3 linked regions of the Caenorhabditis elegans genome follow. The protein of the gene in region 2 purifies or fractionates together with the protein of the main gene of each other region. This does not show direct contact. Each region holds a gene or a part of one and is shown on either strand. Other genes may lie near its edges. The genes, in order: mog-2, mrpl-54 and mrpl-11.

Region 1 (4,215 bases), on a different chromosome or scaffold from region 2:
TTTTAAATGTAATTTTTTGTATTTTTTTGCAGGGAGGTTTAAGAGATTTCAAGAATCGAGGAAACATCACTTTGAAGGTCCAACGCACAATTGAAAAACAATAACTTTCCTGATTTCTTTTCGTTTATGACTTCCAATTGATTGATGAAGATTATTTTTATTTCATTATTGATTCAAATTCATTTTTCAATGTAAAAAGATGGAAAAAACAGATATTCAGAAGTGAACTTGAAAAAGAGACTTTTTGCTCCCGCCTGGATGAAAAACCTTCGGGATCTTCAACATTTACCTATCTCAACTTTGGTGTTTCCTTTTCAGTTTCATTGTTATTCAGTTTGTCTTGGCTTGTACTTTGCACATATTGTCCATTCATACCGCAATTTGATAGCATCTCTTTCGATCTTTGCCTGATAAAGACTTATGCGCCTTTAGGAATGGGTAGTACGGTAGGGTTTAATTTCCGCTTTGGCTTTTTTGTTCATAAAAATTCCAATTAAATTAGAATTTTCCTATTTTTAGTTGCCGAATAAATATTAAATTTTCTTATTATTCCAAGTTTTTTGCGCGTACAATACTGCGCATTGTGTGCAGTTTCGCCGCGCGGTGTTTGCGGACATTTGAATTTTCGATTTATTTTTTTCCAGAATTTTGCGTTTTTCGATTGTTTTCCTTCAATTTTGAGGCGATTTTTTGATTTTTCGGCTTAAAATTATCACGAAATTTTGTTTCATACATTTTAAACGTTTTAATCACCTGATCTGCTCGTTTTTTTCCAATTCACCAGTGTCTATCTCCATTTCTAGGTCAATGATGCCGCTCACCGACCGTGACATCTGCCCAGAAAACAATCGGTATCCATACTGCATTGTTTGGACTCCGATTCCATGCCTGACGTAGGAAATATCTAATTTTATCCCAATAATCCAGCTAAAAATGCTGTTTCAGTTGGTTTTTCCCATTCATCGGCCACATGGGAATCGCGAATAGCCGTGGAATCATTCGAGACTTTGCTGGGAGCTATTATGTGGCGGTTTGTGCCCAAATTCAATTTATTACTTCCAAAAAGTAGAATATTTTTAGGAAGACGACATGGGATTCGGCTGGCCCACAAGATACTGGCAATTAGGCCCGGAAAAGGTGGAAGGTGGCGCGGAAGTCTTCGATAGAGCAGTTCAAGATGCTTCCGACACGTATAAAACTAGAACTGTACGGTTTTTAATCGATTTTTCCGATCAATATTTCATTTATTTCCAGCACAATCTCATCTGCGATAATTGTCACTCGCACGTGGCTCTGGCTCTCAACAAAATGCGCTACGATGAGCGCGAGGACTGGAATATGATCAATTTGGCGTGGTATTCACTGACAAAAGGAAGCTTCGTTCGTAACACGGATATGCTCGCTCAATACCTTCCATTCGTTATAATTGTCTTCATTTTCGTTGCGCTGTGGGCTTTTTTATAATTTTTGACCATGGGAATTCTACAAAATGACCTATTTCATTATGTTTTCCAGCATATTTTCATTGAAAATTAGATTTATCTAGAAACAGCATTTATTTCAGCCGAAACAGTTGAGAAAATGAACAAAAATGGACGTTTCAGCTGGAATAAATGGTAATTTCAGAGAAATCGAGGGATTTTCTATATTTTTACACTGATTTTTCGTGAATAATGCTGAAAAACATGGTTAAATAGACTATTTTGTGGAATAATTTGATCTCATGTAAAATATAGTCCAACTGTTAAATATTTCGTGTGATATATTATGTAAAATGTATTTTTTTTCTGTAATTTTCATATATATTTTTTTCAAGTTTTCTTGATGTTTAACCGGTTTGCAGCCGACTTTTTGTCTATCTTCTATGTTTTTTTGTTATTTTTTACATTGAAAACCCCCTAATTCCAGCGAAAAATGGTCCGTCTCACGACTGAGCTGTTCGCCGAGCGTCCACAATTCGTCAATTCGGTCAATATGCGGGAGATCAACTTGCGCGGCCAAAAAATCCCCGTAATCGAGAATATGGGAGTGACGAGGGATCAATTCGATGTCATCGATCTGACTGACAACGATATCAGGAAATTGGACAATTTTCCGACGTTTTCTCGTTTGAATACGCTGTATCTTCATAATAATCGAATCAAGTGCGTAGTTTTCCGAAAAACGAGCGAAAAGTGGCTAAATTTAGCTAAAAATATAGAATTTTGCACCATATTTTGCTGGAAAAGCCCAAATTTTAGCTAAAAATTCCAATTTTGCCAATTTATCCGTGTTTTAGTGCTTTTCCAGTCGATTTGTACCCAACTTTGGTTATTTTCGACTGAAAAGTACCGAAAAATGGGGTTTCCTGGCAGAATTCGGTGATTTCAGCTTGAAATAGGGTTTTAAAAAATTTTAAACCGGAAAATTCTGACAAACTTCCCTAAATTGAATTTAAAAAATTGAAAAAAAAACGTTTCTTTGCTCTGAAATTTCATGAAATTTCCAAATTTTTTTTTCGGCAAGTTGGCGAAAAATTCAGATTTAGCCGGATTTCGCTATTTTTTCCAAAAAAAAAAAACGAAAAAATCAGTTTTTTATGAAAGAACATAGGAAAAATATAATTTTTTTCCTGAAAAAGTTCGAAAAATTTTAAGCCATTTTTCGAAAAATCGAAGTTTTTTTCGGAAAGTAGGGGAAAAAATCGATTTTTCAGAAAATATCCTAAAATTTTGGTCATTTTCAAATTTTTAAAATACTTTCTCTAATTTATTCTTCAAAAATTTAAATTTTATGGTTACTATTTCCTGAAAAAAAATTAAAAACCCTCCATTTTTCATTGCAAAACTGCTTTTTTCCCACATTTTCGAGCTCCATTCCCACCAATTTACCCCATATTTTCAGCTATATCGCACCCGACATTGCCACAAAACTTCCAAATCTCAAAACTCTTGCACTGACCAACAACAACATTTGCGAGCTCGGAGACATTGAGCCACTGGCAGAATGCAAGAAGCTCGAGTACGTGACATTTATCGGAAATCCGATAACTCACAAGGACAATTATCGGATGTATATGATCTACAAGCTGCCGACGGTTCGAGTGATTGACTTCAATCGAGTCAGACTGACAGAACGTGAAGCTGCGAAGAAGATGTTCAAAGGAAAAAGTGGAAAGAAGGCGAGAGATGCGATTCAGAAGAGTGTTCATACAGAAGATCCATCAGAAATTGAACCAAATGAGAATAGTTCGGGTGGAGGTGCTCGGCTTACTGATGAAGATCGGGAGAAGATCAAGGAAGCGATCAAGAATGCCAAGTCACTCAGTGAAGTCAACTATCTTCAGTCGATTCTGGCATCGGGAAAGGTTCCGGAAAAGGGATGGAATCGTCAGATGGATCAGAATGGTGCCGATGGGGAAGCGATGGAGTCTTGAAAAATCTTGAAAATTGCAGAATGTGCTGCTAAAATTTATTTATTTATTTTATTTGATTTTTTTAATGTTAAAATGATACTCCTTGTTTTATTTATATTCTCATTTTTTTCCAATTTTTTCCCAGTCTGTCTTCCCTTTTTTTGTAATTTTTATATACCATAAAACAATATTTCCCCTATTATTTTTGATATTTTTATCGATTTTTCAAAGGTTCCCCGTGCCTTTTTATATTTGATTTTTTGAAATTTTTGCAACAAAAAGTTAGAAAAAAATCCTTTTTCAGCCATTTTTGTGTTTTCCGGCTATTTTTTATTATTTTATTAATTTTGAGAGGTTCCCACTGGGAACTTCCCAGCGCCTTCAAATATCTATTTGGAAAAAAAAGGTTTAAAAATTGGAAAAAACGCGGATTTTTTTTTGAATTCTCGCCTAAAATAATCCATTTTTTGTGTTTTTTTGTCATTTTTCCGCAAAAAAAAAACTTCAAAACCCTTAAAAAAATGCGTTAAAACTCTAAAATTACCCTAAAAATCGATAATTTTAGACTTTTTTTTTCACAAAAACTATCGATTTTTGGCTAATTTTAGAGTTTTCAACTTTTTTTGCTGAAAAATGACTGAAAATGTGACAATGAAAAACCGATAAAAAAAGCCGGAAAATACAAAAATGTAGAAAATCGGTGAGAAATTCAAAAATAAATCGGCTTTCACTAGTTTTTTTGCAAAATATTTTGAAAAATCTTTTTTTTTCAATTATAAAAATTTTTTTTGGTCAGTTTTGGCAAAAAAAACCAAAAAAAA
Region 2 (2,959 bases):
GTTATCTAAGTTTTGTTTTTAAAAACATAATCACTTGTTTTATTTCCAAATTTCAACGACTTTCATGGGTGACAGATTTTAGAGCAAGGGTCTCGTCACGCGTTCTAAAAACATTTTGTGTGTGCACCTTTAAGTTACTGTAAGAATTCTGTAACAAAAAAGTCAATCGAAATTTCCTTCTGAGATTTTTTGTTGAGAAAACACGGATATTTGCAGAAAAAAGTTTTTTCTAAATGTGCAACTTTTTCTTTTCTTGGACTTTCTCAATTTCACTAGTTTCATAATTTTCAGATGCAGCCTTCAACCAGCAACCATAACGATCCATATGCAACACAATTCGAAGACGGAAACTTTACTAATTGGGGAGAGGCCGAAATTTCCGATCGAAAAAAGTTTTTTGACAGTGTGCTCGCGGATCGTGCGCAGAAGAACCATGAAGAGGAGCAGAAGAAAAAATTGGCGAAGAAAAGAAAGTGAAATTTTGGCATTACATATATAAGTTCGATTTTTTAAGTAAAAGTAAAAATAAATTCATTTCTATAAACTAGATAATAGATTGATGCTAAAAATTTAAAAACAAATAAAGTCAACAATTGAAAATACTCCGGAACTTAATTCTTCTTCATACTGGGACTATTCTGCAAGTGTAGGAACTTAGTCTTCAACTTCTGAATTCGTTGATTTTGCTCGACTTGTCTTTTTCTTAGAGCTCTCCAGTACAACCATCCATCCTTTTCGGCATCCAAATCTTCTAAATCTCTTGGTGCTCGAAGATCCAATTTGAACAGCCATTCAGGATACTCCGAGTCTGGAAGAATTTTCGGTCCCGGCTCATCTCCTTGTGTGTATGCATTGATGCATACGTGGGTTGCCAATTTGACAGCATCTTCTTCGACGAAAGATTTGTCGACTTTTACACCTGCAGCAGCTGCTGCAGCTTTTGGTGGAGCATATAAGCGTCGAGGTATCAGTGATGTAGTTCGACTGACTGTTGAAAGAGTCGAACGGAGCATCTGAAATTTTGAAACTAGAACTCTTGAAATCGCACATACTCAAAGCAAGATAATATTGCGTTCAACTATGTACAAGCAAAATATCTTTAAATGTGATAATTTCATTTTTCGGGTCGAACTTTTCTTTAAAAAAGCGGAAAAAAGCTCAACCATGAACTGCCTCCATTTTACTTTAATTAATTTTTTAAAAGATTTACTTTATTTGCTTTTCGAATAATTGTTTTTACTATAAATAGAAAAACTGCAATTTTAGAATGTGACATTCTAGAATTTTTTGAAGTTATTATAAAAATTTGCTAGCTCCATCGAGAAATATATTGAAATTTTTCTCCGGCACACTTGATCGACATAATACATGCACATTAGATACGAAAAAGTATTCAAACTTCTTTTAAAAACAATTTTAAAATCTTATAAAATACAAGATCTTTTTGTTTAAAAATAACACAACCAGTCATAAAATAGAGAAATAAAATCCACAGATAAGTGAGAACAAAATACAGATATGTCAGAGGTTTTGAGGGGTAATAACTGTAATTCACAAAAAAAAAGCAATAGAAAAATTATTCCAAAGAGCTAAGTTTACTAGATCTGACACGTTTTGCAGATGCTGACGATTCTGGCGATTTCAGCAATCGTTTTCCTGTGCTCAATCGAGACGACGGTGAACTTATATGTCCAGTTGAGAGAGGAGTTGGCTTCTCAAAGCTTTGCACATACATCTGTTTTGCTGCACCTCCAGGTCCATTCAGAACTTCTTGAAATGTGACAGCAAGAGTGGTTTTTGACAGTAGAGATGGCTTGCTGAGTCTCGGTTTGAACATTGTTTCTTCGGAGAATTCGATTACAGTTTTTTCAGTTTTCTTGAATAACTTTCCGGCGCGAGCAAACATATCATCGCCTTGTTTCGGCTCATCGAGCAACATCAATTCTTCCGCCTGAAAATATTATGTAAAATAACTTCAAGAAACATATAACTTTTTTAAAAACTATGCATAACATTTGAAAGAATTTTAATATTTTTGGATTTCATTTAGAATATAACAAAATCAAAAGGAGTAATAATTTTTAATTACCTTTTTTCGAACAATGTTTTGTGCTCAAAACATTTTTTGTGGGAAATTATTATCAACTCACATGTTCATATTTGAACTTGATCATTTCGGCTCGTTCCTTCTTTTTTTGTTCATCTTCTTCTGGTTCATCATCTTCTCCATCACCATCATTTCCATCTACATCATCTCCCATTTGAATTTGAACTTCTTCTCGTAACTTGAAACGGAATTGACGATTCGTCTCAACTCCACCGAGATCTCCGTCGGCAAGTAGACGGTCTTGAAGTTTTGCAAGCTCTCTGGAAAATTATAAATTAATTTTTGATTCTACATGCCAAAGTAAAAAAAATAGAGAAAATATATTACCTTTGTTCCTTATCGTTTTCCTGTTTCAGCAACAACTTATGATTCTGCCTCCGAATAGTATCATTATCGGGAACATCATCTGCATCTCCTTCTTCTGCTTCATAAACGTTTTCCATGCCTTCTTCATCTTCTAGATCACTTCCAACATCATCACCGGAAAGTGAAGCTTCATCATCAAAAAGTGTTCTCTTTTTGATTTTTTGTTTGTATTCTTGGTGTTGCAAACGTTTCAAGATAGCTAATTCATCGTCTTCATCGTCGAAATTTGGATCCGGAGCTTCTACTCCTTCGGTTTCAGCTTCATCATTCTCACTCTCGATGTCATCTTCCTCTGGTTCTTCTTCATCATCACCTTCTTCTTCAGCTTCTTCAGCTTCTTCATCACTATCTTCACCATCACTCAGAACAACTCTTTTCAGCTCGGTTTTTTCTTCTAAAACTGTTTCTATCTTTTCAGTGAATTCACCAGATTTTTCGCAAATTTCTTTGATAGTTTCGGAATCTTCCAAAGTTCCCGATCCAAAA
Region 3 (3,164 bases), on a different chromosome or scaffold from region 2:
ATTCAGGAGCACGAGAGTTTGTAGAGCTGGATTGCGGCTCGGCTGAAAATTGAATAATTTCAATATTTATATTTTTGTGGATTTGTCAATTGTTATAACGTTTTATGAAAGGTTTTAAATTTCTTTAATATTTTCTACATTTGGTTTTGGTAACCATTAAAAAATTTTGGAAATATTGAAATACTTACCTTCTCCTGGGAATACGACACGTCCAGCAAGTCTTGACATTTGTATTATTTTTCGGTGGTTGAGAGATCTGAAATTAAAATAAATAACTATTTCAAATTTGATAATTAAAAGCGGGGAGTGTACAGGAAGTTTGGAATCTATGATTTTTTGCGATGAATATTATTATTGGCAGGTAAATCTAGATTACGGTATTTTTCCTGTTAACAGCTCATATATCAGTCACTATCAGTTATCTTTGAATTTATCAAAAATTATTCAACTATGAAAATATATGAAAACGTTTCGTACGTAATATAAATTATAAATTGTTTTAAAATGCCAAAAATAAATTAGATAGAAGTTGTCAAAGTAGAGCCAAAGGACAGCAAAAGCAATGAAGAGGTACGGTAGCTTGGACTTTGAAGAAAGATTCTAGGTTAAGATTCTAGGAAAAAAAAACCATATTAGAAACAAATGTTCACCACTAAATAGTGAGTTGTCAATAGTGAATGAAAGCAGAAACATATAATCTTTGCCAGCATTGTAAACGCCACCTTTTTCAGCCAAAATCAATCGATACTACCTTATGATCACTTGGTACAGTGGGAAAGATGTTACCTTCTCATATGACGTCACATCTCCAGATATAAACTAGATTGATTTAGGGCTAGACGTACCAATTTGGGTAGAGGTAGGGGAAAGAGAAAACTATGCATTTTATAGAATATCTTGAATTTAATGAGTCTGAGCGTTTCGGAAATTATTTCCTATATCAACTGTATTAGAATTTCATATGTCGTTAGATATTATTTCAGGCAATGACAATTTTATTTAACCAGGAACCAATACTGTTAAAATAGATTTTAGAGACTTATTTAACTTAATTCATGTTTAAATCACCAAAAATGATATCATAGATATAAACCTACAACTTTTAGTAATTAAAAGTCAACTTGAACATAAATTTGACACAATTCCAAAATTTTAAAATTTGACGTTCCCGTTAGGGATGATTAAAAATCGTTGAAATCTATTTAAAGATTAAAATGAAACCAAATGATTTTAGCAGGCGTCTAGGGAAACCTTTCAATAGACTGGAAGTTGATAATATGTGAGGTAGTACGTTATATTGGACTATAAAATGAGGGAAAACCAATAATTTGATTTTTAAGAGGGTATATTTCATTTTAAAATAAAAGAGAACGAAGGGAATAGTCTAACGTGTTATAATCCAAACATTTTTCTTCTAAATGACATTGTAATATTATTTGAATTTTCAGATACTACAGCAATTTCCAGACTTGCAACTTTGCCGCGCTAAACAACACGCGCTACGACACTCCGCTCGCTCGCTTTTTTGTTTTTCACTGTTTTCAGCTGAATTATTTTTCTTTGAAGCGCGCTCGTCATCTTTTCTTCTTTTTTTTCTGAGTTTTCGTAAATATCAAATTAATTAATTTTAATATTCCTGCTGTTACATCTTTCTTAAAAAATCCCTCTGCTTGCCAAGACTATTTGTGAAATTTCAATTTTCAACGCCTTTTCAGAAAATGGCAAGCAAAGGTGCGGCCCGTGTCAGAAAGAAGGAGATTGTCAAAGTTGTTCATGGAGCGTTACTCAGAACCAATATTAAGTGAGTTTTAATTGGAATAAAAAAATACTTCAGCATATCTCAAAACTAATCCGAAAAGTTCAGTATTATTGTGTTTTCCACATAAATTTGCAAACCTATCTCTCAATTCCGAAGTCACAAAAAAAGTATAGTTAGTTTAAAAAAATTAATTTTTCAATAAAGAAGTAAAATAATAATGTAATTCCAGAGCACAAATGGCGTCGGCTGCTCCACCACTTGGACCACAACTTGGTCAACGTGGGCTCAATGTCGCGAATTTTTGCAAAGAGTTCAACAAAGAAACAGGCCATTTCAAACAAGGAGTCCCACTTCCCACACGAATCACTGTAAAGCCAGATAGAACATATGATTTGGAGATTTGTACACCGACGACGACATGGCTTTTGAAACAAGCCGCTGGTATTGGGAGAGGAAAAGCAAGTAAAGGTGAGAAGCATCTTATGTTCAAAGTTTGCAATTAAATCATTTTTTTCAGACGAAATCGTTGGAAAATTAACGGTAAAACATCTGTATGAAATCGCCAAAATCAAATCACGAGATAAAGCTTTACAACACGTCCCGCTTGAACAAATCTGTCGAATGCTGATAAAAACATGTAGAACATTGGGAATTGATGTACAATATCATGATTTGGATCCAGTCGAATTGAAAGAATTTTTAGTTGCCCGGAAAGAGAAAGTTGATGCTCAGTTGAAGGATTTGGCAGATAAAAAGGCGGCGAAGATGCTCCGAACCACTTAATAAATTTTGTTTGGTTATAGGAATATCCTCCTAGGATAGACGTTTTTTTCTAGTAATTTTTGTTGTTTTTGTTCGTTACAATAAATCTCATTTTTATTTTCTGGATTAATTTGATTACCAATCGTTTCCAGCGATTTTCACATATTTTTCCAGAATTTAATACAGATTAATATTTTCGAAAAATTTAAACATTTTCTTTTCACATTTTAATTCATCTCTATTCATTATGCAATACTCTTTTGGTTTTCAAGCATCCGACATTCCTCCGTTTCATTTATGTTTGCATTTCTGCTGGCATGAATGCATTTCATTGTGTCTCGATGAGAAAAAGGACAATTTCATGAGCTTATCAGTTACTTCGTTTTCAAAATTTTAATGTTGACCAGCCATTGATGTCATATTTTGTCTAAGAAGCTCAAGAACTATTATTTTTTGAAGCTTAATTTCGAAGAGCAACATTTTTTTTCATTAAAATTCAGCAGTCATTGTTCTTTAAAAAGTTTTGATTCTCGTTTTTAAACGATTTTTAATTCAGTCGAGAATTGAATAACTTCCCGATTTCCCGGCCACCATCGTTTAATACCTTTTCTTTATGAGACTAACTTCCAAGTATGCAAATTGC

Evidence for each region.
Region 1: the proteins of mrpl-54 (region 2) and mog-2 fractionate together in Caenorhabditis elegans (co-fractionation; one large-scale study listed by BioGRID). This does not show direct contact.
Region 3: the proteins of mrpl-54 (region 2) and mrpl-11 fractionate together in Caenorhabditis elegans (co-fractionation; one large-scale study listed by BioGRID). This does not show direct contact.

The regions. Positions count from the first base shown.
Region 1 is NC_003280.10:4,322,453-4,326,667, forward strand, and holds mog-2 (putative U2 small nuclear ribonucleoprotein A'), read left to right. Parts: upstream 1-1,908; 5' UTR 1,909-1,914; coding exon 1,915-2,144; intron 2,145-2,883; coding exon 2,884-3,415; 3' UTR 3,416-3,590; downstream 3,591-4,215. Other genes in the region: Y52E8A.1 (RNA helicase), read left to right, coding at 33-104; H20J04.6 (Transmembrane protein 222), read left to right, coding at 808-893, 946-1,030, 1,081-1,206, 1,255-1,464. UniProt on the Caenorhabditis elegans protein: This protein is associated with sn-RNP U2. It helps the A' protein to bind stem loop IV of U2 snRNA. Required maternally for early embryonic development and zygotically for germline and somatic development. Has a role in the switch from mitosis to meiosis.
Region 2 is NC_003279.8:9,158,510-9,161,468, forward strand, and holds mrpl-54 (Large ribosomal subunit protein mL54), read right to left. Parts: upstream 1,014-2,959; coding exon 612-1,013; downstream 1-611. Other genes in the region: F25H5.10 (uncharacterized protein), read left to right, coding at 292-477; clsp-1 (Claspin), read right to left, coding at 1,577-1,951, 2,151-2,367, 2,435-2,959.
Region 3 is NC_003281.10:8,715,929-8,719,092, forward strand, and holds mrpl-11 (Large ribosomal subunit protein uL11m), read left to right. Parts: upstream 1-1,715; 5' UTR 1,716-1,718; coding exon 1,719-1,801; intron 1,802-1,988; coding exon 1,989-2,227; intron 2,228-2,276; coding exon 2,277-2,542; 3' UTR 2,543-2,639; downstream 2,640-3,164. Other genes in the region: B0303.14 (uncharacterized protein), read right to left, coding at 1-42, 189-228.